Linked DNA regions of Arabidopsis thaliana. The protein of the gene in region 1 interacts with the protein of each later gene in a pairwise test. Each region holds a gene or a part of one and is shown in the gene's direction. Other genes may lie near its edges. The genes, in order: MYB3R-5 and AT3G57600.

The links.
Region 2: the proteins of MYB3R-5 (region 1) and AT3G57600 interact in a two-hybrid assay, tested with the Arabidopsis thaliana proteins (one large-scale study listed by BioGRID).

The regions. Positions count from the first base shown.
Region 1 is NC_003076.8:479,049-492,064, reverse strand, and holds MYB3R-5 (myb domain protein 3r-5), read left to right. Parts: upstream 1-5,591; 5' UTR 5,592-5,717; coding exon 5,718-5,759; intron 5,760-6,129; coding exon 6,130-6,281; intron 6,282-6,400; exon of another isoform or gene 6,401-6,412; coding exon of another isoform or gene 6,413-6,426; coding exon 6,427-6,478; intron 6,479-6,629; coding exon 6,630-6,687; intron 6,688-6,985; coding exon 6,986-7,080; intron 7,081-7,177; coding exon 7,178-7,281; intron 7,282-7,368; coding exon 7,369-7,497; intron 7,498-7,605; coding exon 7,606-8,620; 3' UTR 8,621-8,643; exon of another isoform or gene 8,644-8,725; 3' UTR 8,726-9,272; downstream 9,273-13,016. Other genes in the region: AT5G02330 (Cysteine/Histidine-rich C1 domain family protein), read left to right, coding at 2,823-4,793; PRT6 (proteolysis 6), read right to left, coding at 9,513-9,584, 9,673-9,741, 9,847-9,924, 10,065-10,131, 10,230-10,334, 10,432-10,964, 11,045-11,226, 11,371-11,992 and 2 more. UniProt on the Arabidopsis thaliana protein: Transcription factor that binds 5'-AACGG-3' motifs in gene promoters. Transcription repressor that regulates organ growth.
Region 2 is NC_003074.8:21,323,864-21,334,433, forward strand, and holds AT3G57600 (Integrase-type DNA-binding superfamily protein), read left to right. Parts: upstream 1-8,910; 5' UTR 8,911-8,977; coding exon 8,978-9,811; 3' UTR 9,812-10,055; downstream 10,056-10,570. Other genes in the region: AT3G57587 (Ta11-like non-LTR retrotransposon), read left to right, coding at 4,400-5,494; AT3G57590 (F-box and associated interaction domains-containing protein), read right to left, coding at 6,319-7,533. UniProt on the Arabidopsis thaliana protein: Transcriptional activator that binds specifically to the DNA sequence 5'-[AG]CCGAC-3'. Binding to the C-repeat/DRE element mediates high salinity-inducible transcription.

The DNA.
Region 1 (13,016 bases):
TTTTTGTGTAATCTTTTCTTTTACTAAAACGCATTGTAATTTTCTATATCTTCTTACCCAAATACCTCGACTGATTGATTATATCTCGGCCTTTGGACTTTAAATTATGGGCCAATTCGGACGGCTCTCGCTTAAGAAACTACAGTTAACAAAAAAAAACCAGAATGAGTTATCTTAGTGATCCGACGGTCCATAATCATTGAGGACCTCTGATTTGCCGATGTGTACAATGGTCAACGCATCAGCTAAAGAGTGTCGTTTGAGGTTGAAACTTTTGTTTGCAACGTCAACCTTTCTTCTACTTTTAACGTCCGTTAAATCCCCCTGTGGGTTTCTTGTCACCATTTACGGTTATAGTTTGATTTCAGATAACCGGTTCTATCAAACCACGCATTAAACTCGCTGTTTTCGTTTTTATTCGAAAGAATATTATAATTAGCCCAGTCACATGAATAAATTTCGTAAAAAAACACATATTTTCTCAATTCATTTAACCGGTTTATTCCAAACCGACTCAAAAGAAGTATAAGAAAAACATTTGAGTCGGTTTGGAATAAACCGGCCGGTGCCAAATTAACGGCGGTTAGCAGTTACGTCGGCGGAAGAAGTATTCGTTACAATATTTGTTTTAATCCCAATTAGTCTCCTTCTCCTTTCTCTCTTCTCTCTCGTTCAACGGGCAAAGTTTTTTTCGAATATAAGTTTTGGTTTGTTTTTTAACGTTCCCTTCTTAATGAAGATAGAGATACAATTTATGGAGAATAAGCAACCATTAGCTGCTTCTTGCTCCTCTGCATCCGAAGGCAGTGGCTGTTTCTTCCTCAAGTCACCTGAAATCGCAACTCTTGCCACAGTATCTTCATTTCCTCGGTACTTTTACTATCTTTTACATTTCATCTTCTATCTGTGTGTTTATACAACTTATTATGAAATTGATTGATTGGAAAGATTGTCCTTTGATGACTTACACCGAACTCATTTTGGTTTTTGTTATGTTTTAAATTGGGTAACCCAACTCAACTCAACTTATAATCAAATGAGTTTATGGTTAAATGAGTTATGAGTTGACCCAACTCATTTTGTTAAATGGGTTGGGTAACCCCATAACTCATTTAATTTGATGGGTTGAGTTGTTAAATGAATTAACTCATTTAAGTAATAATTTAATTAATTATTATTATAAAATAATAATAAATAATTATCATTATTAATAATTATTAATTCATTATCATCAAACATAGGATATTTACGGATTCCACTTTTTACGGGTTTACGTATTCAACGAGAAAATTACGGGTTTACGTTTTTGGCGGGAAAATCACAAGTTTACGTTTTCGGCGGGAAAATCACGGGTTTACGTTTTTGGCGGGAAAATCACGGGTTTTCGTTTTTGGCGGGAAAATTACAACTTTACGTTTTCGACGGGAAAATCAAGTGTTTTCGTTTTTGACGGGAAAATCACGGGTTTACGTATTTTGGCGGGAAAATCACGGGTTTTCGTTTTTGGCGGAAAAATCACGGGTTTACGTTTTTGGCGGAAAAATCACGAGTTTATATTTTTTGTTGGGAAAATCTTGAGTTTTCGTTTTTGGCTGGAAAAATCACGGGTTTACGTTTTTTGCGGGAAAATCACGAGTTTACTTTTTCTCAATTTCATCGCTTGTATATTTAAGAAATTTGGAAAAATATTAATTTTGTTAAATTGGTTTAGATGTGTTGGTTAAACTTAAATTGGTATTTGTTTAGAGATTTTGGTTGGTTTGATTCAATTTTACAAAACTTGATGGTTTAATTGGGTAAACCATTGAAATCATTAACCATTACAATCCAACTCATTTTACTCATCAAACCAATTGACCCAATAACTCGTTTGACCCATCAACTCATTTGAGTCAAAATTTTCAACTTATTAAGATTCATAGGTTGAGTTGAGTTGAATTGATCCATGAATTTTGACCAATTTTAATACCCCTAGTTTTAATGTTGATCTTGCAGGAGGACTAGTGGACCTATGAGAAGATGATCTTGGAGGAGGACTCGTGGACCTATGAGACGAGCAAAAGGTAGTTGGACTCCAGAGGAGGTTAGTGGTTGCTTTTGTTTCGTTATTTTGAAATCAAATATACATAATGCATACACAATTTTACATTGATGAGTATTTTTATTTGAAGATTCAGGAGATAAAATAAAAGATAAAAAAATTGATAAAGAGTAATCAGAAAAAAATCACAAATAACATCCATATTAAAAAAGCACAAATAACGTGTGAGATAGTCAGAACCTCAGAGGATATACAAAAATTAATTGAGAAAACTAGAAGGGTCCAATTGCTAATTAATTGTCAAACAATAATTCATATTCTCATCGTTTCAGTGTTTCGAAACAATAATTGACTATTATTGACGATTATTCTATAGCAAAAAAATAGGAAATGGGGACGTGCTATGCACAGACTTTTAAAACTTCAGTTTAAAAAAGTACATTTTAGATGATGGAACAATTTTTACTTTTTTGTCAACCGAATTGTTAAAGTGATAACGATTAAAAATGTAAACCATTAAAATCAAGTGTTAATAAGTAATAACAAAGACTAGTCTCACTGAGATTCAAAAACAAAAAAATGAAAGACTTTTCTATAACAAAGAATATAAAAAGATTAACAAACGAAATAATAATTGAAAAAATATTAAACATATCGATCAAAATTAGCTGTGTATCTTACGTGTCTTTAATATTATTGTATATAAATGGAAGGGTGAGAAGGAGACGAGAAATATCACAACTACCCAAAATCATCTTTGTAGGCTAGCTAGCAAGCAGCCATGAATTCAAATTCAGTCGGTGTATTTCGTGAGAAGGAAATCGATGGGAAACCATTCCACACATACACTTTATCATCTCAAACAGACACCACAACCCCTTCTTCTTCCGGTGAAACAGCCATTGATGGCGACGACCATCTCTCTCTTCAACAACCTCTTTTCCTCTGTCCTTCTTTACGTCTTAAAGCTGACGAGATAAACTATTCTTATAGTGAAATTCTACCGTTCAATATTTCCCCGTACTTCCCCAGCATAAGAGGCGCTGATCAACAAGTCCAGCATTTGCTTGATTCCGACAGCCAACAAGTCCATGATTTGCTTCATTCCGACAACAGCCATGATGATGATGGTGATGAAATCTGTAAGCTCCCAGTTGTCCCTATCTATTGGTGTAACAGTAAAGAAATTGAGTTCGATCAATTCAATTGCGGTGCATGTGAACGATCAAAGATTGGCACAGACTATTATATCTGTCTCACGTGTGATCTAATGTTCCACAAAGAATGCGTGGAGTCTCCCCTTGAGATCAAACACCCTTCCTATCCCTTTCTTTCACTCAAACTTTACACTCGTCACGAGCAGCTCATGAGTTGCATGTGCTGTAAACACCCTTCCAATCTTATTTTTTATTATTGTCCCACCTACAAATTGAGTTTGCATCCCGATTGTGCGATGAAGCCAATATCCATTTTTATAGACCACCCAAAAAGGCATCCCCACCTTCTCACCTTTTTTCCCAAACAAGCTTCCTTACTTTGCGATGTTTGTAGCCTCATTAAAGAAGCTTTCCCCACCTATGTGTGTCTTCGATGTATCTTTGTAGCCCATCGAGATTGTATCTATTTCCCGTATGTCATTAAAATATGTCGTCACCAACACCGTATCTCTTTTACCTCTTCTCTTCCATCTGGAAAATGGTCTTGTGGAGTATGTCGTAAAAAGGTTGACAACAATTGTGGTGCATACACTTGCAACAAGTGTAGCCACTATTTTGTTCATACAAGATGTGCGTTACGGGAAGACTTGTGGGATGGAAAGGATCTCGAGGGAGTACCTGAAGAACCTGAAATAATTCTCGAGCCATTTGAGACGATAGCTGATGGAATAATACTCCATTTTTCTCATGGCCATCATCTGAAACTCAAGACCAGTGGAGTTTACAACGAAAACATTATTTGTCAAGCGTGCATCCTTCCAATCTATGAGGGTAATTATTACTCGTGTATGGATCAATGCAACTTCATCCTCCACGAAGCATGTGCAAATGCTTCTCGCAAGAAAGATCATGCCTTACACAGTCACCCACTTACGCTAAAAGTTGTCTCTGATATACAGAATGAATACTTTAAAGGTTACTTCAGGTGTTCCGCTTGTGATCGTGAAAGTTGTGGCTTCATCTATGAGGAGGATCAATACAGCATAGACATACGGTGTGCCTCTGTTTCTGAACCATTTGATTATCAAGGCCATGAGCATCCCTTATTCCAAGCTTTAGACCGAAAAGAAGAAAGGGAGGCAATTTGTCAAATTTGCCGAAAAAAGTATGGTCGAAAACTAAATTGCATCGAATGCAATTATATTATATGTTTCAGTTGTGCTACTTTACCATACAAGGCAAAGTATAAGCTTGACAAACATTTCCTCACATTTCGGGAAGGGGAAGAGGGAAGTGATCAGTTAGACTGGTGTGAGGTATGCGAAAAGAAATTAGAATACTCAAGAGAAGGTGGGTTCTATGCGTGTGATGACTGCTGCACCACTCTCCATGTTGATTGTTTGCTTGGAAAAGAGATGTATATGTTGAATCCTGGTCATACTGTAATGGCTTATAGGTCAAACATTTATATTCTTCCCAACAATACCATGACTCGACCATTCTGCCAACTTCATAAAGAAGATCGTTGTCCACACAAAGTAATTTTCAATTGGCATGACATGACATTTTGCTCTTACAGTTGTTCGATGGATTAGATGTCATCATCGCCGGTGCTTCGTCGTCCCTTATTCGCTATATTTCACTCCCCATTTGCTTGTCTACGTTTTGTAATATGTTTCTTCTATTAAAACGTATTGTAATACTTTTGGATTCTTAACTTCTTCTAGTTCCCCATTTGCTCAATCTTCTTGTTGTCTGGTTGTTTACGTTTTTGTGTAATCTTTTCTTTTACTAAAACGAATTGTAATTTTCTATATCTTCTTCTTACCCAAAAACCTCGACTGATTAATTATATCTCGGCCTTTGGGCTTTAAATTATGGGCCAATTCGGACTGTTCTCGCTTAAGAAACTACAGTAAAAAAAAAAACCAGAATGAGTTATCTTAATGATCCGACGGTCCATAATCATTGAGGACCTCTGATTTGCCGACGTGTACAATGGTCAACGCATCAGCTAAAGAGTGCCGTTTGAGGTTGAAACTTTTATTTCCAACGTCAACCTTTCTTCTACTTTTAACGTCCGTTAAGTCCCCCTGTGGTTTCTTGTCACCATTTTCGGTTATAGTTTGATTTTAGATAACCGGTTTTATCCAACCACGAATTAAACTCGTTGTTTTCGTTTTTATCCGAAAGAATATTATAATTAATTAATTAGCCCAGTCACATTAATAAGTTTCGTAAAAAAACATTCATTTTCTCAATTCAATTAACCGGCTTCTTCCAATTCTTTTGAGTCGGTTTGGAATAAACCGGCCGGTTCCAGGTTAACGGCAGTTAGCAGTTACGTCGGCGGAAGAAGTATTCGTTACAATATTTGTTTTAATCCCAATTAGTCTCCTTCTCCTTTCTCTCTTCTCTCTCGTTCAACGGGCAAAGTTTTTTTCGAATATAAGTTTTGGTTTGTTTTTTAACGTTCCCTTCTTCTTCTTCCTCGCGAATTCGCTTATCTGGCGATCACGATGAGCTCAAGTTCGAATCCACCGGTTTGTTCACCGGAAAAGGTCAGATTTTTCCCTGAAATCTGATTAGGGCTTTTCATTTTTTGTGATCAGATTGTTATCTTCGTCTACTTTGGTGTGAGTTCATGGGGTTTTAGGTCTGAATCGGAACACGTTTTAACAGGTCTTGGAAAAGGGTCTGAATTGGTTTCTAATGATTAGAATTGTATAAACCCTAAACATCCATCTTGTGCTTGAAAGAAATCGACTTGTTTTTTTGTGAGATCTGGCTTCTATTTTGCGGCCGTTGAGTTTTTAGGGTTTTGTGATTTTTGATTATTTGTTTGATAAAGATACGTTCTTGTTCATTTTGTGCTCAATCCCATGTTTTTAACGAAAATTCTGGATTTGGTGATTTATATGGGTTTTTTAGGAGGAAAGAAGTGAAATGAAAATTGAGATTCAATGTATGGAGAATAAGCAACCATTAGCTGCTTCTTGCTCTTCTGCATCCGAAGGTAGTGGCTGTTTCTTCCTCAAGTCACCTGAAATCGCAACTCCTGCCACAGTATCTTCATTTCCTCGGTACTTTTACTATCTTTTACATTTCATCTTCTATCTGTGTGTTTATACAACTTATTATGAAATTGATTGATTGGAAAGACTGTGCTTTGATGACTTACACCGAACTCATTTTGGGTTTCTGCAATGTTTTAATGTTGATCTGCAGGAGGACTAGTGGACCTATGAGACGAGCAAAAGGTGGTTGGACTCCAGAGGAGGTTAGTGGTTGCTTTTGTTTCATAATTTTGTTGGTGTGTGGAGCAACCTCATTCGACTATGTATCTTATATGTATAAGGATTAGTGTTTACTTGAATGAAAGACGAGACTAGCCTTATTGTGGTCTGTAATTGGTTTTTATCACTATTCAGGATGAGACACTTAGACGAGCAGTTGAAAAGTATAAGGGGAAGAGGTGGAAGAAAATAGGTAAATTTCTTTTCTTGAATGTAAAAGTAGTATTGCAATACATTAGAATGAGATTATAGGTCTTCTAATCACACTCTTGTCTTGATGTATACTTGAATGTATAATTTATACATTTTTAAAACTGAACTCGTATCTTAAATCTGCTGAGAATTTTGTGAATTTTTCTCATTCAGTAAACATGATCTCTGCTGTGCACTTTGCAAGAGAACCATGATTTCTTTTTTGTCTCTTAAATGTTAAAGTAGCTGGTTTCGGTCAATGTTCTGTTTGTTTGATTTTTTTGTATTTCATCTTACAGCGGAATTTTTCCCAGAGAGAACAGAAGTCCAATGCTTGCACAGGTGGCAGAAAGTTCTTAATCCAGAGCTTGTTAAAGGACCTTGGACTCAAGAGGTTCTCTTATCATTTTCATGTTCTGAAACTTTTTTTGGTTTTCATTTTACGTAAAAATTTGGTAGCTCTAAAATTCTCTTTCTTTCGTGAATTGTAGGAGGATGATAAAATCGTTGAACTTGTAAAAAAATATGGACCTGCCAAATGGTCTGTCATCGCCAAGTCCTTACCAGGTCGTATTGGGAAACAATGTCGAGAAAGGTAACAAAGATTAGAATATTGACTATCTGAAGAATAGAGCCTGTACCTCCGTTGAGTTTGGAAGCCTCAACGAGTTTACGATTACAGGTGGCACAACCATTTAAATCCTGGTATTAGAAAGGATGCTTGGACCGTAGAAGAAGAATCAGCTCTCATGAATTCTCATCGAATGTACGGAAACAAATGGGCGGAAATTGCTAAGGTTTTACCAGGAAGGTATACTTACTTGTAGTTGAAAAAGGCCTTGTGAAAAATAAAGTTAATGGACATTTTTGAACATCTCATACAGTTTTTGCTTCTGATGTCTACCTGTACTTTTTGCAGGACTGATAACGCCATAAAGAACCATTGGAATAGTTCACTGAAGAAAAAATTAGAGTTCTACTTAGCAACTGGTAACTTGCCACCGCCAGCAAGCAAATTCATCGTTCTGAAAGATATTGCTGATGGAGACAGAGATTCCAAGCAGTCTAGTGCAACTAAACCTTTCAAGGATTCTGATTCGCTTACCCAAACCTCTTCAGGAAATACAGATTCAAATGAAGTTGGAAGAGACCATTTTGACTCTTCTTCCGCTCTGCTTGAAGAAGTAGCTGCTTCACGAAGAATCGGTGTCAATGAGTATGCTTGCTCTCCTGTTGAGTACAAGCCTCAGTTGCCTAATCTGGAACCAATTTCAGAGGAAGTCAGAATCAACTCAAAAGCTTATTTTGAGAGATCAATCCAGAGGAAAGTAGAAAACGGGTTTGGAACTCCAAAGCATGGGAATTTATACTATAAGTCTCCACTTGACTATTACTTTCCATCAGAAGCGGATCTGCAACATATGTACGGATATGAATGTGGTTGCAGTCCCGGTGCTGCATCACCAGTCAGCTTAATGACTACACCCTGTAATAAAGACAGTGGTTTAACTGCAACGAGAAGTCCTGAATCTTTCTTGAGAGAAGCTGCTAGGACTTTTCCAAACACACCTTCTATTTTTAGGAAAAGGCGAAAGGTTGTTTTGGCAGCGAAAACAGATGCTGTTGTTGTTGTTAATGGTGTAGTTAAGGAAGTTGATCGAAAAGAAGAAAGTAAAGATATGAGAAAAAGTTTGTTGCTGGAGACAACTGATAATTGCAGTGATGATGAAGAACTCGGGTTAAATGGAAATGCTTTCAATTTGTCTCCACCATATCGGTTAAGAGCTAAAAGAACAGCTGTAATCAAATCAAGACAGCTTGAGTTTACATCTGAAAAGGAGAAGCAGCCAGATAATGAGATTGAGTTTACATCTGCAAAAGAGAAGCAGCCTGATAATGAAATTAAAACGTCTGAGGAAGACAAGCCTGTGTAGAACCCTTCTTCCCTTAGAAAACTGTGAGTGAAAATTTCAAATCTTTTATTTAATGTCACTAATCTGAGTAACAAATCTAAAATAATTCCATCCTTGTTGACACAGAGATCGTGTGAAGAAACCAGTATGGTTCCAGAAGAATTGAAGCTTTGCTGGGAAGAGAACCGTGAAGAAAAACAATTCTCATTCTCTTCCTCACAGCCTTGAGCTATGAATCTACGGCTTTGGTCTAACACCCGAACTAAAATGAAATAGGTAGGTAGGTACACTCACAAGTAGTTTAATTTCATCGTTCACATACATGGTGTCCTGTTTACGTTTAAAATGATAATTGTGCAGAAACTAGTTTTAAAGGATTAGAATTTTGGTTAATTCTTTTTTATTTTTAGGGCTTTTGAGTATATGATGTTACATAGTTGACGAAGACACTGAAAATTCTTCCATTTTCGGACATCGAAGTGATATCAGAACACAACACATTCGTTTTGATACTATCCTTTCTCTGGATCAATCTGTACATATATCAAAAATTTTACAAATAAACCTTCTCAAAATCAACACTTTTTTTTTAATCATTGGGATGTTTATCGACCATTTTCAGGTAGTAAGCCTGAATAAAATAAAAGAAACAATGCAAATCTGCGCACAGAGACTAACCAATGATAGTATTGTTAAAAATAAACATTATGCAACTGCCAAGAAATAATACTCTATTTACAAACATGATCGCATATATCCACAAATAAAGAAATCAACCAAAGTGACAGAAATCAAATAAAAAAAAATCATCAGAAAAGCTCTCAAATCTTTAGAATCTTAACTGATGATTTCAAAGCAACATATGAATACCATCTCATAGAGATCAATGTCTGAGAAATAGCACGCAGATCGTTTAATGTAAGACGGCTCCAATTGTGGTTTGGCCGAGAACTTTTGAACTGCGATCAAGTCCATGAGAACCAACCTGAAAAGGATTTCACCAAGCAAAACAATTATATATTTTACCATACAAACAAAAGTTTCTTCTTTTGATTGTTGAGACAAACATTTACCAAGTAAGTTAAAGCAGCATAACGTTCTTCATTCAGGTATAGTCGTTTTCCTCTGATCATATCGATATCCTGAAACAATATTCAATGACCAACAGCATGGAAACATCCGAATCAACAAGATCGTACCCATCAAAGTTAAAAGGAAAAGAAAGAAAAAAATCTTTCTAGGTTTACCTCTTCTCCAAACGTATCCAGGTAAGGAGATGGCCAAGGTGATTGTCTTGCAAACCTTTGTAGCAAAATTGTGGTCCGCTATCGAAAAATGTAGAGCAGTAATCAATTAGAAAGCCCACAAATGATGCAAACTCCATACATACACGAGCAATATATAAAGTAAAGGAGAGTTATATCCACAAGAGAGAGAGAGAGAGAGAGAAGACGAGAGGTGATACCCGTATCAGAAGAAATACACCAGTACCAGCACCACAGGTAATTGCATGATTAGGACAACCACTTTCTCTGTAAAAGTATGTTAGAACGTCATTGTTTGGTTTTCTAGAACAATAACAGTGTCAACCAAAACGATGTTTGGAGACTAGTGGAAGTAAAGGCAATACCTGCAACAAGGGCTCCATATGGGAGAACACAAACTTCCACACAGAAGACATAATACAGGTTCTTCGATAACTTTGGTGCAGTTGACGCAACGTTTTTTTATACACCTATAAAAGAAAAGAAAACAAGGCTTTTTGATTAGAGAAAAAGTCTTCGAATGGGAAACAACTTGTGCAAAAACCAGAGAGAGACGTTGCTGCAAACCTTTGTAGTAGGTCCTGGTATAGATTGGGTAATTTCATTAGCTGGAAAGGAACTACAGGGGTGATGCAAAGGGACCTTTTAACTCTGTTGACTCTATATTCCCGCTGAAAATGCTGGAGCCATATTTGGGTTGAAGAACGGAGAAGTTCATCATTAAGAATGATATCTATAGGTGGAATGTTAAACATTTTCTCCAATTCTTGCACATGATTCAGCTCAGACTGGGGACTGTATATGAAATCCATATTGTCGGTGGTGGGGTCAGATGGCAAATCAAACATATCTGACTCTTCATGAAGCTTCCTAGGAGTAGATTTCAGTAGCTTCCACAACAACGCACATCTCCTCAAGAAAGGAAGACTATATTTACGGATTGTGTCTTTTATATCACATGACAAATCCATATTGTTCGACCTGAAATACTCCCAACCACCTGATTCTCTCAAAGCGTTGGAGATGTCATTAAGCAGGTTTTCCCCAAAATTTAATTCACTCAATTCACTTGGGCGACATGCACAATAAGCAATTACAGTCTGCACCAAAGACAATGAGATTAGGAGACGTACGTCTAAAGAGGTAAATTTGTATATACTTAGAGAACAATGTGGCATACCTGAACAAGCGAGACACTGTGGAAAATATGCACAAGTGACAATAGAGATTCCTCGCACGTGAGAAAAGGAAAAGGAAGACAAAAGAGAGCCCACATCAGTGATGAAAATGGGTCATGGGCAAGAACTGGATCGGATGCTCGATTCCAGAGCAGGTCTATATTCTTCAATGAACCTGTTGTGCCTGAAAAGATGGCAAATATTCTCAGATGTTATCGAGAAACAACTACAGTCAGCAACTATTTCATTAATATTTGCAATTACGGAGGCCATGTAGACAGACATTTCCATGTCCTTTATTTCCTCTTGAGTGTTGGAGAAAAAGTACCTTCACTTCCAAATATGCTGCTCGAAGAACTACTTGAAACTCCATAGCATATAGACTCTGCAAGATGCTTCATACCCACAAATCTCTGACGAACATGAATAGTATTCTTTGTTCTGGAGCTCTGTACCACTCGTAATAAAACTGACAAAATAGTCCCCTTAGAGGTTTTCAACTCTTCATACAAGGAGTCAATACAATAGACAGGCAGCATTGAATTCTTGGCAAAACGAGTACCAATTTCCATTGAAATGAGAGAGTACTTAAGGGTGTCCCACATGACGATTGATTGTGGTGGTAGCCACAGACGTTTTAGAGTTTTATCCTCTGGCTTGGGAAAATAGAAATCCCAGAGCATTTTAGAGACAGATTTAAGATCTTTCCTTCTTGGTCCATCTCCCTGTGGAGTAACTGTTTTACCTCTATCACCATCTTCGATCACTTCAGCAGCAGATCGTAGTAGACACAACGCTTCAGAGAGCCAAAGAGAAGGCTGCAGTGCATCTTTTCTACGTAACTTAGTACGTGGACTATCTTGTAGCTTTGAGACAGAACATAAATCTCCAGGACATTCAGGCAATACAGAATTGGCTAGTCGGCGGCATACAGGACACAGGAATTCTTTCTGACAGAAGAAACAATGTTTAAGCTTCAGAAGGAGTACGTTAAAGCACCAGAAAAATATCTCTAAATTGGTCACACAAATACCTTTTTTAGATCCACAATATGTGCACCTTCAAAGACAGTTCTTCTGCCAGACCTACACCATCCCAACAAACCAAAAAAAGCTTTTAAACGTGAATATCACAGCTGTAAATCAAGGAAGGAAAATCAATTCAACACGCCTGATTAACCTATGCCCAACAGGTAGGAAGGAAGTATCAACTTAAAAGAAAAATATATTCACCTATCTACACGCTGAGTAATTAAGATTTTTGTTTCACATACGAAACCAAAGGAAGTCAAACATGGCTCACCTTTCCTTTAAGGATTTTAAATATCGTTCAAGGCAGCTTTGATGTACAGCATGTCCACATGATGAAAGATAAACCCCATCACAGTCGATAGGGTGAAACCCATCTGAACCAGCATCAGGACGCCTGGAAGTTTGTCTTGATCGAATATCAGGAAATCTACCTTGCAAAGTAGATGGACCACCAACAGAATTTTTCTCCGAACAATTTTCAGCTTCATGGGGTTGATGATCTACACGTGTAAGGCTTTGATTTATCATGTTTTCAATTTTGTTGCGAACAGTTTGATACATGGCTATCTCCAATGATTCCATGTTAGATTCATCTTTTCCCCTCCCATCGCTAGACCTCTTCTCTGTCTGACCATTCCCTATAAGCCGGGCTTTTATAGATTCAATCATATTAGCAGACTCAGAGATAGTATCATCTGACAATTGCAGCATGAGAGGAGAACTTATTCTTAAACTATCTGAAGAAGCATTCATTCTCAAAAGATCAGGAGCTCCATCCACAGATATCTTCTTTTCGGATTGTGGACATTGATCCCAAGATGGAGGGCCTCTATCCACAAAACTCAATAGTTTAGATTTCTGCAGGAAAAATGACATCATTAAGAATGATGCAGAACAAAATTTCCTCGGAGTATATGTTTATTTAACCTTAACAGTCGCATAT
Region 2 (10,570 bases), on another chromosome or scaffold:
AGGAAATGAAAAAAGATCATTTTCCTGATATTTTGTTCCTCATGGAGACCATGAATTGTGATCCTTTTGTTATGAAAATCTTTACTTGGCTTGGATATGATTATTTTCACACAATAGAACCAGAAGGCAAAAGTGGAGGTCTCGCTCTTTTTTGGAAAAATAACCTAGAAATTGAGTTTTTGTATGAAGACAAGAATCTTTTGGATTTGAAAGTGATTCAAGGTTCTCAAAGTTGGTTTGTTTCTTGTGTGTATGGGAATCCAATGGCAAGTCTCAGATATTTGCTTTTGGACAAGTTATGCTCTATTGGTGAATTCAGGAAATCAACTTGGTGTATGATAGGTGATTTTAATGATATCACATCTAATCAAGATAAGTTAGGAGGCCCTTCTAGACTGTCTTCTTCTTTTCAACCATTCAAAGATATGCTTAGCTGGTGTGACATGCATGAATTAGGAAGTTCAGGGAATAGTTACACTTGGGGAGGAACTCGTAATGATCAATGGATTCACTGCAAATTAGATAGATGCTTTGGAAATTCGGCTTGGTTTTCTATGTTTCCAAAATCACATCAATGGTTTCTTGAAAAAATGGGTTCAGATCATAGGCCTGTTCTTGTAAAGTTTGTGAATGATCAGGAAGTCTTTCGTGGTCAATTTCATTTTGATAAAAGATTTGCAGATGATCCTAATTGTGCAGAAGCTATTCGTTCTTCTTGGAATGAGATTGTTTCTTCAGAAGTGTCGTCATCAATGATGGGATTAGTGGAGTGCAGGAAAGCCATTGGTAAATGGAAAAAGGGGAATAATTTCAATGCTCAGAACAGAATAAAATGTCTGAGGAAAGAGCTGGATGAGGAAAAAAGTTTTCAGTTTCCTTCTTGGCCTAAAGTCTCAGTGTTACAAGATCTTTTAAGTGCTGCCTTTTATGAAGAGGAATCTTTCTGGAGGTTAAAGAGTAGAGACAAATGGTTAGATGGAGGTGATAAGAATTCTAAATTTTTCCAAGCTTCTGTCAAGGCTAATAGAGTTAAGAACTCACTAAGCTTTTTAGTTGATGAAGAAGGGAATGAACATACTGTAGCTAAAGAGAAAGGCAACATTGCTTTAAGCTTTTTCAAAGATCTCTTTACTTCGTCCTATCCTGCTAATATGCAATCAATCTTACATGGATTCCAAGCAAGAGTCACTTCTGAAATGAATATTGACTTGACTAAAGATGTATCAGAGGAGGAGATTTACAATGCGGTATTCTCTATAAATGCAGAGAGTGCACCAGGTCCTGATGGTTTCACTGCTCTATTCTTTCAGTCTCATTGGTCTTTAGTTAAGAAGCAGATAATGGAGGACATCTTGGGCTTCTTTCAAACGGGAATCATGCCAGATCAATGGAATCACACACATCTATGTTTGATTCCAAAAATTTCACCCCCAAGAAGAATGGCAGATATTAGACCGATCAGCTTGTGTTCGGTATTATACAAGATCGTGTCAAAGATTCTATCTGCTCGTCTGAAGAAACATCTTCCAGAGTTAGTCTCCCCAACCCAATCTGCATTTGTTGCTGAGAGGTTAGCTTCTGATAACATTCTCATTGCTCATGAGATAATTCATAATTTGAGAACTAATGATAAGATTTCCAAAGAGTTTTTGGCTTTCAAAACAGACATGTCCAAGGCCTATGATAGGGTTGAATGGCCTTTTTTACAAGGAATTTTAACAGCTATGGGCTTTAATATCAAATGGATTTCTTGGATTATGAGTTGTGTGACTTCAGTCTCTTATTCTGTTCTGATAAATGGTCAAGCCTTTGGTAAATTGTTTCCTGAAAGAGGTATAAGACAAGGGGATCCTTTATCCCCTTTTCTTTTTGTTTTGTGCACGGAAGCTTTGGTGCATATTCTAAATCAAGCAGAAAGAGATGGGAGAGTAACAGGAATAAGGTTTAATGAGGCGGGGACTTCAATCAATCATTTATTGTTTGCTGACGATACTTTGATAATTTGTAAAGCTACAAAGAATGAATGTGAAGAGCTTATGCATTGTTTATCAGAGTATGGACATATCTCAGGACAAGTGATTAACTTGGAAAAGTCTGCTGTCACCTTTGGAGCCAAAATTGACGAGGACACAAAAGATTGGATTAAGAATAGATCAGGAATCCAATTGGAAGGTGGGTATGGAAAGTATCTGGGACTACCGGAATGCTTAAGAGGTTCGAAAAAGGATTTATTTGAGTTCTTAAAGGAAAAATTACAGGCCAGACTCATAGGTTGGTACGCTAAAACTTTATCCCAGGGGGGTAAAGAGATTCTATTGAAGTCTATTGCGATGGCTCTCCCTGTGTATGCAATGACTTGTTTTAGGCTACCTAAATCTCTATGCTCAAGGTTAACTGGTGCTATGATTGACTTTTGGTGGAATTCAATGCAGAATACGAAAAAGATTCACTGGATTGGGGCTCAAAAATTAATTTTGCCTAAATCTCTAGGAGGTTTTGGTTTTAAAGACCTTCAGTGCTTTAATCAAGCTTTATTAGCCAAACAAGCATGGAGAATCTTTAAGAATGAAGATAGTCTTTTGTCCAAGATCTTTAAAAGCAGGTATTTCCTCAATACTGATTTCCTTAATGCCTCTAAAGGAACACGTCCTTTGTATGCTTGGCAGAGTATTTTGTATGGTCGTGACTTATTGCAGAAGGGTTTAAAAAAGATTATTGGCAATGGGCAACAAACCATTGTTTGGGTTGATAAGTGGCTTTTTGATGGTCTGAATAGAAGACCTTCGAGTATTCATTCTTTGATGGATATTAGCATGAAAGTGAATCAACTCATTGACCCCATTTCTGGAAACTGGAATCTGAATCTTATGAGTCAGTTATTTCCTTGGACGGATATTCTGATAATGCTTAATCAAAGACCGATGGTAAATCGAAATGATTCTTATTGTTGGTCTGGCAATAATAATGGCATTTACACGGTTAAATCAGGGTATGATCTGATTAGTCGACAAGCTCATCAAAAGATTTATCAAGAGGCTGCAGTGAACCCTTCAGTAAACCCTCTTTTTTGCAGTATTTGGAGTCTTCATACGGCGCCTAAAATTAAGGTCTTCTTATGGAAAGTCTTAAAAGGAGCTGTAGCAGTGGAAGACAGACTAAGAACTCGTGGTATCAAGGCAATGGATGGATGCTTAATGTGTAATGAGGAGAATGAAACAATTAACCACATTTTATTCCAATGTCCATTGGCAAGACAAGTCTGGGCGCTGTCCCTTATGCAATCCCCTGAAAAAGGTTTTGGATCTTCAATCTTTACTAATATGGACCATGTTTTGAACTATTGTCAGAAACTGAGTAGTTCTAGTAATGTGAGTTATGTTAGTCCTTGGATAATCTGGGTCTTATGGAAACATAGGAATAAAATTCTGTTTGAGGGAGTTACTTCTGTGACTCAAAGCATTGTAGACAAAGCTTATGTGGATTGTAATCAATGGTGTTCAGCCCAACAAGATGTCTGTATCAAGGAATCAAAGTCAAAGTTGAATTGGAGTCCTCCTCCTCAGAATGAGATTAAATGCAATATTGGTGTGGCCTGGTCTAATCGTTTACAAGCTTCTGGTGCATCTTGGGTTGTGAGAGATGCTCTGGGAAAGGTGTTACTTCATAGTAGGAGATCTTATTCTCATGTTCATTCTATGTTGGATGCAAAGATTAGAAGTTGGGAATGGGCTCTTACAAGCATGGCACAACATCATTTTGACAGAGTCACTTTCAGAGCCTCAACACATGACATTATTAAAGCTCTCTACAAACCAGAAGAATGGCCATCATTATTAGGCCATACAAGTCAACTCTTGAAGTTATCACAAAAGAAAAGTGGTTGGTTCATGGCTTTGGAACCAAAACACTGTAATAAAGGAGCTTTTGAGATTGCTAAGAGTGTTATTACTGGGCACAGATGGCAATCTTATGTCTCTCGGGGTTTTCCCCATTGGCTAGGAAATCTCTTTGCTTCCGAAATGACTCAGCTAGGGAGATTGTGACAGTGTTCATTGGAGGCTTGATTTGGTTACAGGTGGTTTAACTCAGATTATCAAATCAGTCGGAGGTGTCATCTTTGGGAATTAGATGCTCAGATTAATTGCTGAGTTGTTAATCAAATAGAATGTTAGGTGTGGAGGTGGATTAGTTTTTGTCCTTTTCTAATGATTGTTTTCTTCAGTCAAAGGTTTAGTAAGTTTAGGATTTCCACTTAGGTTCTTCGAGTCTAGTTTTTTAATAATTTCTTTTTTCCTAATTTTTTCATTAAGGTTAGAGTCTATATATTATAAGTGTTTACTCCTTTACGTCATTAGGTCTCAGTCTTTCTTGTTCCTTTTCTCTTTTCAATCTTACCTCCATGGCAGATGAATTGTGGGATGAAATTCAAGGCCTGGATCTAGGTCCTGAGGATCCAGCCCTCTTCATTCCCCATGAAGCTTATGTGTATGTTGAAGAGTTCAATCGACTGAGTATAATTGCAAGACCTCTCAACCCAAGAGTCCAAAACTTGAACGCGGTGATTGCAGCCTTACCTCGGTACTGGGGAATGACGGTGCATGTCCATGGAAGAATTCTGGATGCAACTTATGTTCAATTTCTCTTCCAAAATGAAGTTGACTTGCAGTCAGTACAAAGAAGAGAACCATGGATTTTCAACAACTGGTTCGTGGCTACTCAAAGATGGGAACCTGCTCCTGCTCTTAACTTTGTTACTTCTATTGATCTTTGGGTGCAGATTAGAGGAATTCCCCTGCCCTATGTGTGTGAAGAGACGGCTCTAGAGATAGCACGTGACTTAGGAGAAGTCATCATGCTGGATCATCATGACGCAACATCTACTCAAATTACTTATATCCGAGTTAGAGTGCGTTTTGGCATCACAGACAGGCTCAGATTCTTCCAACGAATCATCTTTGATTCGGGAGAAGTGGTTACCATCAGATTTCAATATGAGCGCCTCAGAAGAATCTGTAGCAGTTGCTTCAGGTTTACGCACAACAGAGCTTATTGTCCCTATAGACCACGTCCCCACAGCATAGCCAGAGAAAGAGCTGTCTTCAGAGACAGTGTTCATAGGTCAAGCTTGAACTCTCAATCGCAGATGACGGAGACTTCATTTCCTGCTCCTGTGACACCGCCTCCTAGAATTGCTCATCCACCACTGAATCCTGAAGAATTGAGAGCTGCGTATCCATACTATGCATCAGTTAGAGATACTCATACATTACATGTTGGAGAATCTAGTACTGCAAGACAACAATGGTCATCGAGTTCTAGTACCACTCCAACAAGAGCAGACACTCCTAATCATGATAACAACAGAGTCTTTGAAGTCGGTCAATCCTCAAGAAGACAGGAAGTAAGAAGAGAAGCAGAGGATCCTAGACTTCAAACTCGTCTACACAGTGCTTCAAGAATGGGAGAGAGTCTGAAACCTCCCAAAAAGAGATAACCACTCTAACAAGACTTCTGTCAATTTTTGTTGAAGACTACAGGGAATCTAGGATAGCAGCTTCAAGTAGTTGGATATGTTTTTTTGGTTCTGACATATCCTTAACTTTGTTAAGTTTCAGGTTTATTATTTCATGTTTCTCGTTTTACTTCTAAGATCATCTTGTTATGTTTGAATCAAAGGTTTGTAAGTGGTTAGACCACTCAAACACTTTTTGTAAGAACACAATGACATGAATGAATGAAAGATAACTTTTAGGGAAAAAAAAAAAAAAAAACGAAAGAAATAGACAGTGAATTTGATGGGCCTTTGGGCTTTAGCGTAATTGTGAATGAGCTCATTTATTCATTGTCGTAATTTATGGTTTGTTCTCTCATGTGCCAATGAAGTCCGTATGTGTGCTAGCAAGCAAACGATGGTATTGGCCTAACTTTTCGTAGAGATTCTATAAAATTATGTGAAATGCAAAGACCAAATAAGTTTGGGTATAGAATCTCCAGCTACTTTTTAAAATACAAAATAATGATACCAGAGTACAGAAATTTAATAGACAGTAGAAATTGCACTTTAATTTCGGGTAGAAGATATCATTAAACTATAGGAAAAATTGATTAACCAAAAAAAGGTCAACAATGCTACAATACGATTCACTTCAAAATATTTGTAATACACTACCAAAGCTAGATTTGATTCATACTCACAGATCTTCCAACGTCTATAACTAAAGAACATAAACACATATATGACATGCCCTACTGCTTTTTACCTCATCCCTTGTCTCTTTTCTTCCCTACTGTCTCTTTCATTTCTTCTCTCCCTTTGGTTTAAGCCTTTTGGTAATGATAATCAGGCTGCGATACTTTGTTACAGCATGAGCAGAGATGCTTGACTTGAGAGATGCTTGACTTGAGTTGCTTCCCTTTGTTAACCCGAAGATCCTCTACATGGTTAACAAAAGCATAAACTCTACCACAATTCTCAACCGCTTCAAGGTTAGCTCCAAAATCTTGGATTTCAACGCTCTGGAGAGTGTTCCTCTCGGGATTGAAGTAGAACACATAAAACGGTTTACATGTATATTTCATACACAAAACAATATCACCTCTAGTAGTCACTCCAGCAACTGAAAAGTCGCAGGAATCAAGGACTTCATTCTCCGGCAGAGTGTACACATATTTAACCCATTCATGCTTCTCGGCATCCTCTAGAACCCACATACGCAACTCAACGGTGCGCCTTTCACCAGCTTGACCATACTTCCAATTAATCCCACTTAATTTACCCTCATAGTTTACCAAAATCAACCCACTAGTATCATCAAGTTGATCATTAAAGCATCCTGCGTCAAAATACTTAAATTCCTCAGACCTTACATCAAAGCAAATGATCACACAAGACGGTACACCAAGAGTCTGAGCTAAGTAATACAAAACTCCATTGATACATATTCCTTCACTCAAAGAACGATCATATGCAGGACAACTAATGATATTACTCCTCCAGCTCAGTTCCTCAGTTCCTAATGTCAGAATCTCATGATGTTCCCTTTGATCAGAAAATGGATAAGCCTCAGACAATACCTTGAATTGCTTACCAATGGGATCAAACCCTAGAAAGCCTCGAGCATTTTTGTACCTCATCAGATCAGGTAAGCTCTCATACATTCCTGTGGTAGGGTTACAAATCACAGGCGATGCATCTTTTGAGAGCCACAAATCAGGGAAACAGAGCAAACCTGAGACATAGCTACAAATGAATCGGCTTACGTCTCCTGAGAATTTTGTATGATAATCCAAATGAGAAGACTTCTCATATCGATTCTGTGGCTGCGGCGACGAGAAGAAGAGCCACTCACCATTTCGTTCGGCAGCAAACAGCAGACGTGGACGATTCGAGGATCTGGTCAGGAAGAGCTCGGTGAAAACTGGACTGCGAAGCATAGACGCCCAGTGCTTCGACAAGGTACGAAATCCAATGACTGACTTCGCCGGCAATCTCGAGAAGATCTCGAGAATGAGATCATTTGGGATTGGTTCCATGAAGAAGCGTTTATTGCCGCCGGAGTGTGTGATTGTTTCGTCGGAGAAGGAGAAGGTTTAATACGACGCAACAAGATTGGGATTGTATGGGCCTTTGGGCTTTAGCATAGTTGTGAATGAGCTAAGCCCATTTATTCATTGCGATAATTGGGACTTTTGGTTTGTTCTCTCACGTGCCAATCGGTATGTTAGATATGTGGTAGCGAATGAAGGATTAGTTTTCACAGGGATTCTAAATATCATGTAAAATGTAAAGACCAAATATGTTTTGGTAACTGGTTATGGAATCTCTAGCTACTATTAGCAACAAAAAAAAAAGACAGTAGAGGTAGAGCTTGCTTTTTGATTTAGGATGAAGAACAATTGTTTAATGGCTAAAGCAAAAGCTTAGTATCTGGTGACAAATGTGTCAATACAGAGATAAATTTATTAGGCTTAGCACTCCTTTTTTTGGATTAAACAATCAATAAAAACGAAATAGAAATATAATCAGTTTGTGTTTTTGCTTTAGTGAAACAGAAGAAAATGGGTTCAGTTATTACTTTTTCTTTATTTTTTGGGATTTGTGTAGAATTATGTACAAGTCATATACTATTAAAATAAATGGGATTAGGGAACAATGTGGTGAGTTAAATGTGATGGTAAGAGAGGAAGGAAGAAGCATGGGATAATGGTGAAGGGAGCGGCGCTTAAATCTGAAAATCTCGAGAATGAAGAAAACACGTCACTTCACTCTCACGATCGAACATGTGATTCTTGTGTGCTGCGACGACTCGTGACTCTTGCCTCTCTTTTTCTCATGCATGGCTCTCCGATTCTCCGACGAAAGAAGGAAACAACAAAAAGATAAAGATGAGATATCGTAAAAGCTTTAAAGCTTTAAAGTGTCCTCAAGAAAAATAATTCTAGGAACCCAAAAAACCTTGTCTCGCTAGATATCTTGGTAACATGTACAAGTAAAATATTAGAGCTAGTCATAACAAAGAAAAACAAAAAAAAAAACATTTGAGTTCCTGATGATTAACAGAAATTTTTGAACATAATAATCCAAAAAAAAAAAAAATGTGTGTGTGCAATTGTTCTAACTTCTTAAGCTATCATCAAAAAGGTGTAATAACTAATAAGGTTGGCATTGCGACTGTTTGGAATGCAGGGGACACCAAGAACTAGGGATTATATTATTCTAGTTTGAGCCTAGGTAGAAGAATTATATAAATATGAAGTTGAGATCAAAAATGGTTAAAAGTTTTTTTTTTTTTTTTTCTTTTGAAAATAACAGAATATGAGAAAAGCAACGGTCACATGCGCGGGTGAAAAAAGCAATTCTCTAGGAATTGAAGCGAACCGTGACATTATTTAAGCACTCACATACTCTTTCTAAGCTCCATTATCATATCCTCTTCTTCCTTCTTCACTATCAATCTTCTTCTCCACTACAACACAAATGGAGAAATCATCCTCAATGAAACAATGGAAGAAGGGTCCTGCTCGGGGTAAAGGCGGTCCACAAAACGCTCTTTGTCAGTACCGTGGAGTCAGGCAAAGGACTTGGGGCAAATGGGTGGCTGAGATCAGAGAGCCCAAGAAGAGGGCAAGACTTTGGCTTGGCTCTTTCGCTACAGCTGAAGAAGCAGCTATGGCTTATGATGAGGCTGCCTTGAAACTCTATGGGCACGACGCATACCTCAACTTACCTCATCTTCAGCGGAATACAAGACCTTCTCTGAGTAACTCTCAGAGGTTCAAATGGGTACCTTCAAGGAAGTTTATATCTATGTTTCCTTCATGTGGTATGCTAAACGTGAATGCTCAGCCTAGTGTTCACATAATCCAGCAAAGACTAGAAGAACTCAAGAAAACTGGACTTTTATCTCAATCCTATTCTTCTAGTTCTTCCTCCACCGAATCAAAAACTAATACTAGCTTTCTTGATGAGAAGACCAGCAAGGGAGAAACAGACAATATGTTCGAAGGTGGTGATCAGAAGAAACCAGAGATCGACCTGACCGAGTTTCTTCAGCAACTAGGAATCTTGAAGGATGAAAATGAAGCAGAACCAAGTGAGGTAGCAGAGTGTCATTCCCCTCCACCATGGAACGAGCAAGAAGAAACTGGAAGTCCTTTCAGAACTGAGAATTTCAGCTGGGATACCCTGATCGAGATGCCAAGAAGTGAAACCACAACTATGCAATTTGACTCCAGCAACTTCGGAAGCTATGATTTTGAGGATGATGTATCCTTCCCTTCCATCTGGGACTACTACGGAAGCTTAGATTGAGTAAAAGCAATTTAAGGTAGATCAAGATTCAGAAGTACACAAATGGTTTTGGATTTAGTGTAGCGTTTTGGAAAAGAGACATAGGTAGTGAGAGTGCAGTCTTTTATTATGCAGCAATAAAGTGAGTCAGTGTACAACCGAGTTGTTCGCTTTTTTTGGTATATTAATGAAGCATGTTCATTTTTTCGCTATCCTTTAGCTCGATAGTTTAAATAGTAAGTGAAAGTCACGGCCCTAATAGAATGATATGTTTTGTGCAAGTAACAATGCAAAAAAGCTTACCTATCATATCCCCTTTCATGGAGATCACATCTAATATCTCAATAATACTAGAAACTCATGATCAATAAATAAAGATCATGATGGTATGAACAAATTTTTAAGATTCGCCTTCGAACTGACCAACGCAAACTTTCTGTCGAGAAAAGAAAACAACAAAACTGAATAACCTAGAGACATATCACACGATGCATAAACTCCCACCAGAAAGTTTCACCTGCCAGCACTGATCAAAATCTGAAGAAATTTGCTAAGTATAGATAACATCCACAGATATTCAACAAGCATAAACAGCAGCTACAATGAACCTTCACGACTTTCTCAGGTTTAAGACATAAAAGGATCTCTTATCAATGGAACGAATAGAGTAAGATCAAACACGAAAGCTTAAACATTATGAATATAGCAACCTCACTGCTTAAGCACAGAATTCCTCTTCATTCCAATATTAGAAACAATGCAACAGATACACTAGTCATT